2 linked regions of the Cricetulus griseus genome follow. The protein of the gene in region 1 purifies or fractionates together with the protein of each later gene. This does not show direct contact. Links are inferred from orthologs where the notes say so. Each region holds a gene or a part of one and is shown on either strand. Other genes may lie near its edges.

Region 1 (3,647 bases):
AATCCCAGCACTTGGGAAGCAGGGGCAGGCCCATCCCAGTGAGTTCAAGGCCAGCCTAGTGTACATAACCAGTTACAGGCTAGCCAAGGCTACATAGGTAAAGAGGCCTAGATTTGCAGCTGGAGCCAGCACCTTGCACCGTGTCCCCTGGTTGTCCCCACTGTGTGACACTGCAGACATCATTTCTGAAGTCAGTGAGGCCATGGATCTTTATAAAAATCATAGGACTAGCTTTTCATGAAGGGTGTCCTTAAGTGTTGCTACAAGCAAACTAAGCTATTACTCGGGGGAAGTAGTGATTTCTAAGATAGTCCAGGGATTACTAATATAGGGCTTTTTAGACTTGAGAAAATTCTTTTGGTGTCTCTGGTTTGAGTTTTGTTACTAAATAAAGCAACACAGGCAGCGGGACAAATTATCTTGCATCTGTCTAAAATTAAAGACATTTTGGTGTTTATTGCCTTGTAAAAATATCAAAGTCTGCTTCTTAAGATGAAAGGAGGTCACAGGAGTCTCAGATTTCAGAAAAGTGCCAAGAAATCTTTCGTCCTGATCGACATCACAAGCTCCTTACTGAGGTCTGGGATCCTCCCCAATAGACATCTGGTCAGATCTTTTGGAACTTGGTTCTGATGTCAGGATACACAGATTCCAGCCAGATGTGCACTGCTGTTGAACCCTTGATGTCAGCAAAATGTGTTTTATGGCTGCTGACAGGCTGGCGTCTGGAGGCCTTGTATCTCATGTACTTGATCCAGCAAATCCTCTCTGCCAGAGCCCTTCGGCATAGTGATCGATGGTCTGACCCTCATAATGAGCCTTCTTGCTTTACTCATAGGTGGGAAACTACCTCCGTATGTTCCGAGGTTCTCTGTACAAGAGATATCCCTCACTCTGGAGGCGACTAGCCACTGTGGAAGAGAGGAAGAAAATAGTTGCATCGTCACATGGTAAAAAAACAAAACCTAACACTAAGGGTGCGTCTTCACGAGGGTTTGTAAACCTGTTTCAAAACCACTCGCTTATGTCATGAAGATAAAACGTTTTCACTCCAGTGTCTTCATTGCAGCCTGACCTTAGTTCGGTAGGGAGCATCCCAGGGGCAGGCCACCCTGCCAGCGCACACATGGTTCAGTTGAGAGTAGCTCAGCGAGTCTTTGGTGCTCCACTGTTGTGTGTTCCTGGCTGGGCCAGTGGGTATGTGAGGGGCCAGGGCCAGGGCCAGGGTAGTAGCAGGTGCTGTGAAGACATGTTGGTCTCAAAACGTTTTAGGAATGCTGTGATTTGCTACCATTTGCTGTGAGTGTGTTGCCGTAGTCGTCCTTCTTGCAGCCCTAGTAGCAGACGGTGGCCCCAGCCCTCACTTTCTTCTGGGGCTTTCACCGCTTCCCTCCCAGAGCACATTTATCTCATAATACTTCATCTTGGCAACCAGTATGCTAAGCTCATGTGCATGTACCCATTCCACGTGGCCTGCCCTGTGCCTGGGGCTTGCTAGGTGAGCCACCTGGTGCTAGTGAAACTAGTGCAAGGTCTGGGCTGTGGCAACTCTGTGCAGAGTGAAGATGCTCTTCATACATTTTGGGGCCTCTAGGAAGAACATTTGGGTATGGGCGCAACATGCCATTTGGCCGGTGGCAAAACTGCTTTCCACTCAGCAGAGGCACCCTGTAGAGAGCTGCCCTGGGCCTGGGTGCATGTGTCCGTGCATGCATGCGTGCTCATGAGCACTCTGTAGTCTGTCTTGTCAGTAGGTGCTAATGTGCTAATGTAGTTGTCTGTTGTGGTGTATTGGGGTTCTTTTAATGCAGGAGCCAGAGCTGCTTTTTATCCACTTCTGAAAGAATCCACTATTGCCTGAAACAGTTTCCTTTGTGTCCCCTCTGCCAAAAGTGGAATATAGTCACTAGCATGGTGGCTACCTAGCTTTGCCTGCCCTTCCTTGAGTTCCCATGAAGCCTTAGTGGTCTTGCTACCATGTGCCTTCCTTTCCTATAACCAAGTGAGTCCTCCAGCAAAGCTAAGCAGGTCCTGCAGATAAGTAGCAGCGCTTGACAGAGGTTCCCTAGAACTGGGCGGGGAGGGGGGGGGAGGCATATCACGTGGTGTGAAGTTCTGTCTTGTTTTCCAGACAACCACATCTGGCCTGACTCAGGGATGGTAACTTTTGCTTGGTGTGAAATAGTTCTTTCCAACTCTCTGGGCTCTTGTTTTAAAAGAAGAGGATTCATCTTTCATTCTGTCTCCCATCTTGCTTTGTGTTTTAGATTGTGGTGGTGTCAGACCTCTTCCCACTGGGGTGTTACTCTGAAGCCTTCCTGGCAGCCCCTAAGCTGCAGCTACCCCCAAACATGTCTGCCCCAGAGCTAGTGCTCTTAAGAGGCAAATTCGTCCAAATCCATCCCACCAGAGGCTTTCTCCACTGAGATGTCTAGGTAAAGCCTCAGTCCGGATTGCCCTTTTGGAAGAGGCTAGCACTCAGCAGTACTGAGTTTGACACCTTGCTTTCCCCACCTCCTGCATGTGAGGACCTCGTGTGCTGTATCAAGTTGGTTGTCAGCTTGTTCACACTGCTGCAGGATGACCACAGTGGGGTTTCTCTGCTTACAGATCATGGGTACACCACCCTCGCCACCAGCGTGACGCTACTGAAAGCCTCGGAGGTAGAAGAGATTCTGGATGGCAACGATGAGAAATACAAGGCTGTGTCCATCAGCACAGAGCCCCCCACCTACCTCAGGTATGCCTTCCTAATCTCAGTTTGCTCCAGAGACATGTGGGGGTATGTGTGTGTGGGGGTCTCATCCTGAAGAACAGGGTAAAGTGAAAGTTGCTCACTCACTATGTTTATAATTGCCTGACCTTGGTTTCTAAGTTTCTTCTGTATCTTTGACATTCTTAACAAACATAGGCCAAGTCTTGAGTTCTGGAATGTTCTGAATCTGGGACTCATTTGCCCCCCCCCAAAAAAAATTGTGACTCAGATAAACTTCCAAAAGAAACAATAGATTTGAATACACACAGGTAGAACTTTGAAAAAACCTTTTCCTTCTTTCTTTTTTGAGACAGTTCTCATGTGGCCCAGGCTGGTCTTAAAATTTGCGGTGTAGCTAAGTATGGTGTTAAAGTTAGAATCCTCCTGCCTCTACCTCCTCGATGCTTTGATTACAAGTGTGTGCCATCATGCCTAATTATAATAGTGCTGGGGATGGTACCCAGGACTTTGTGCACACGAGCAGCGCTCTACCAACTGAACCATCTCCTCCTCAGGTCCAAACAGGTGTTTTTGGTTTTCTTTTCTTTTTTTTTTTTTTTTTTTTTTGATCAGGGTTTTTCTGTGGCCCTGGCTGTCCTAGAACTCACTCTGTAGAGCAGGCTGGCCTTGAACTCACTGGTGCTAGGATTGAAGGTGTGCATCATCACCACCCAGTCAAGACAGGGTTTCTCTATGTAGCCCTGGCTGTCCTGGAGCTCACTCTGTAGACCTTCCTGGCCTCGAGCTCAGATGTCTGCCTGCCTCTGCCGCTGGAGTTGTCTTTTAAAAATAACTTTTAAAAGTTGTATTATTGTAGGCTGGAGAGATTGCACGTGTGTGACATGCCATGCGTGTGGAGGTCAGGGGACAGCTTTGTAGAATCAGTGCCCTC
Region 2 (3,747 bases), on another chromosome or scaffold:
TTTAAATGGCTCCAGTTGGGCACTGGGCGCCTTGCTCAGCAGGGGAGCTCCCGGCACCCAGGACTTGGATCTCAACTTTGGAAAGCCTCCCCTTCTCACGGTTGTGAAAATTCTTTGTCCCACTGGAGCCAAACCCAGCCCACGGCAGGCATCCGGCCATCCGAAGACAGCCCTTTCCATAGGAGGCCCGGGAGCACGTGGACTTTATTGATTTTTCTCCTTGCCTTTTTTTTGTTGGGTTTCACTCTGAAAGGACAGCTAACTTGTGACACCACCAGACCTGAGACAGGCCCCCGAGTAGTGTTTTTTTTTTTTTTTTAAAGGCAATAACAACAGCGGCGTTACTCAAGAAATGACACCCCCCAAAGAAACAGCCTGCAGCGGGGCCTGGCCAGTTCCTATAAAGGACGGGACCAGCCCACGGCCGCTGACACTTAGGGGCACCCTCGCGGCTGCTCGTCTCCCTCTCGGACCCTGATGAAGCCGTGAGAAAAAAAAAAAAAAAAAGACATAATAAAGTTGAAATTGGGGAGCAGGGAGTTTTCAACAAGTCTGACCCAACCTGGAGGTGGACTACTGGCGCCTCCGGCCTGGCCTCTAGGGCCTCCTGGGAGTCAGATCCCGACGAGGCCCGTGAAAATGTTCCATCCTGCTAATTATAACGAGGCCACGCCGGGCACGATCTAATTTGAGCTTGAAAAACACGCACGGCCCACACCGAATCTCGCGGTCCCCTCCTCCTCCCCCAGTGCAGAGAACAAAAACAACGGTCGCTCGCTCTCTCCGCAAAACAAACACCAGCTCCAGCTCGGAGAAGGCAGACACGGCCCAGGACTTGGCTTCTGGCAGCAAACATCGCGTCCCCCGAGCTCCGGGTGCCGCGCGGAGCGGGTGGGAGCCGCGGGTGCCCCGCTCGCCAGCCGCGCCACCGCCTTCCCAGCGCTCGCCCCCATCTTCCTTCCTCGCCCGGAGCCCTCGCTCCAGGCTGCCCAAAGCGCTAAATTTAAACGGCTCGCGCTCTGCAAACTCCGCAGACTCGAGGGCGCCGAGGCCCGGGAGGCGGGGAGCTGCGGGCGGGTCGGGTCGGGGCGTGGGGTGTGTGTGTGTATGTGTGTGTGTGTGTGTGTGTGTGTTTTGGGGGGACACCGGCGCCGCGCCGCCCCGGGAGGAGACGGCGGCCCGCTCCGCGCCGCACAATGGAGCTCGCGCTCTGCCCGCCGCCACCGCCGGCATCACGGCCCCGGCGCGCGGGAAGCCGCTTTCATGTGACTTGCACAAAAAAACGAAATGGCTTCTGGGGCCGGCCGCGAACCCCCCTCTCCCGAGCTCCGAGCTCCGGGTTGCAGCCGCCGTCGCCTTCGCCGCCGCTGCCGCTGTCGCCGCCGCCGCCGCCGCCGCCGCCAGGTGGGCGACCCCGCGCCAAGCACACCTGGGCAGCGGACGCAGCCCCCGCGGGGCGCAGGTGACCCGGGCCGCGCGTCCTCGCCAACTCCGGGCCCGGGGCCGCTGCGCCCCGCGGTTCCGTGAGCTGGGTCCGGGCTAGCCAGCGGCCGTGGCGCGGTGCAGCGAGCCGGGGCGAGCGAGAGAGCGAGCAGGCGCCTCGGCTTACCATTTGCGCACTTTCTCGATAGCCGCCATGACCCTCTTGATATCATCTTTGGCCCGGCTCCTGGTCTCGGCTCGAACCGACCTGCCCGACATGGTTCTGGCGGGGAGGGAGAGAGAGAGGAGAGAGAGAGAGGCTGGGGGAGCGCGCCCGCCGGGTCCTGCTCGCCACACTCGCCCGCTCTCTCACTCGCGCACAGACACACACTCACACACATACGCGCACACACAAAGCCTGGTGCCGCCGCGCGCCCGGGGCCCAGTGCGCAAGCGCCGGGCGGCAGCTGCACAGAGCGAGGGGGAGCGGCGCGGCCGCCACTAGTGCGGCCTCCGGGCGCCGCCGCCCTCCCCGGGGAGCCTCGGGGACCTCACCCAGGGAAACGATCAGGGATGACCGCGACCTCCCAGCACGCGGGACTGGCCCGCGCGCCGACTCCCCCGGAGGCCGCGGATGTGGTGGGAACCCCTCCCCCCAAGACACACACCCTGGGGATGGCAGACAGGAGGCCGTGGGTGCCCTGGCCTTGGGTTGGTGGCCTCGGGTGCGATCGTGCAAGTTACTTGTCGGGCGCTTGACTTCTCAGAGTTGGAGGCGGTGGTTCCGGACTCGTGATCTTGGAAAGAGTTGAGGTGCCGGTTTCTGGCCAGCTAGCTGCCTTGTTGAAATGTGCGAGCTAGGACGTCTGCCTCACCATGATCAAACTAGGGTCGCAGTTTAAGGTGCCAGAGGCCGGTGGCTGTAGGCATTGTCGCAAGGCTTCCTTTTCCTTGGAGATAAATTGTCCCAGTCGGGGATAAAGCTCGCTGGCGTAGGTCACAGGACCACAAATTAATCTTAAACGGCTCCTGGTGGAAGCGCAGTTTACTGACCGGGAGCAGCTGGTAAACTGGACTGGTCCAACTCAGAAAGACTTTTGAGGGGCTGTTCCCGATCCCAGGACAGAACTAGGTGGCAGAATCTACTGCGGTCAATTAGGATAGGGACAGATAGGTAGGCAGCTGAGGCTAAACCGACTGGACCAGAGCAAATGCTTGCCCAGGTGGATGCTGGGAAAAGAGATGACCTAATGTGAGCAAACCAGTGCCTGGAGAAGAACTAGCCCAACTCAAGTCATTTCACAGGTGGGGAAACTGAGGAAAGGAGTTATTCCAGGTTGCAGCCATGAACTTCTTCTGTGACGGCATTGATTGTGTTACCCCCTAAAGTTTGGGGACGGTGCTGGGGTCTGGTAGAGAGAGCTAGCGGAGAATGAGAACAAAATGTATGGGCTTTCCCCCCAAGCACATCATTTTACCATTTCAATCACATGGCCCTAATGTGAAAAATAAAAATAAGAACAGTAGTCCGGCATGGTGGCCTACTCCTTTAATCCCAGCACTTGGGAGGCAGAAGCTGGCAGATCTCCGTGAGTTCAAGGCCAGCCTGGCTTATGTAAGGAATTCCAGGCTAGCCAGGACTAAATAGTGAGACCCTGTCTCTAAATAAATAAATAAATAAATAAATAAATAAATAAATAAAATCAAACACCCAGGTTGTGGTGGTGCACCCCTTTAATCCCAGCACTCAAGGCACAGGCAGGTGGGCCTCTGTGAGTTTGAGGCCATCTGGGCCTATAGAGTGAGATCTAGAATAGAGAAACCCTGTCTTGAAAAGCAAAATAAACAAAAAACTAAAACAATTATGTTAGAGAACCATTCTGAGTGCTGGATTGGAAAATATGCCATAAATCAGAAGTCTCATAATTTTGACCCTCAGTTCAATTCCCTGCTTGGGCCTGAGGGAATTAGTTTTTGTTTAGTGCTAGACAAGTGCTGTTCCATAGTTCCCACATAGAATGTGTGTGTGTACATGTGTATGTACATGTATGTATGTATGTATATACTTTAAAAATAAGACATAAACAAATCCACACATCAGGTCAGCAAGACAGCTTAGTAAATGCACTTGTAGCCAGGTGATGGTGGCACACACTTTTAACCCCAGCATTTGGGAGGCAGATGAAGGCAGATCTCTGTGAGTTTGAGGCCAGCCTAGTCTACAGAAGGAGTTCCAGGACATGCTCCAAAGCATGTTACACAGAGAAATCCTGTCTCAAACAAACTATATACATATATACATACATACATTTGCAGTCAAGCCTG

What was found. The genes of interacting proteins can lie anywhere in the genome.
Region 2: the proteins of Smarcb1 (region 1) and Bcl7a purify together in Homo sapiens (affinity purification with mass spectrometry; 7 studies listed by BioGRID and IntAct, counting the BioPlex papers as one, with this or other methods). This does not show direct contact. The link is inferred for Cricetulus griseus from reciprocal best matches to the Homo sapiens genes SMARCB1 and BCL7A.

The regions. Positions count from the first base shown.
Region 1 is NW_023276806.1:262,704,346-262,707,992, forward strand, and holds part of Smarcb1 (SWI/SNF-related matrix-associated actin-dependent regulator of chromatin subfamily B member 1), read left to right. Parts: intron 1-838; coding exon 839-977; intron 978-2,610; coding exon 2,611-2,740; intron 2,741-3,647.
Region 2 is NC_048597.1:103,112,892-103,116,638, reverse strand, and holds the start of Bcl7a (B-cell CLL/lymphoma 7 protein family member A), read right to left. Parts: upstream 2,605-3,747; 5' UTR 2,091-2,604; intron 2,064-2,090; exon of another isoform or gene 1,978-2,063; intron 1,864-1,977; exon of another isoform or gene 1,826-1,863; intron 1,820-1,825; exon of another isoform or gene 1,706-1,819; 5' UTR 1,702-1,705; coding exon 1,610-1,701; intron 1-1,609.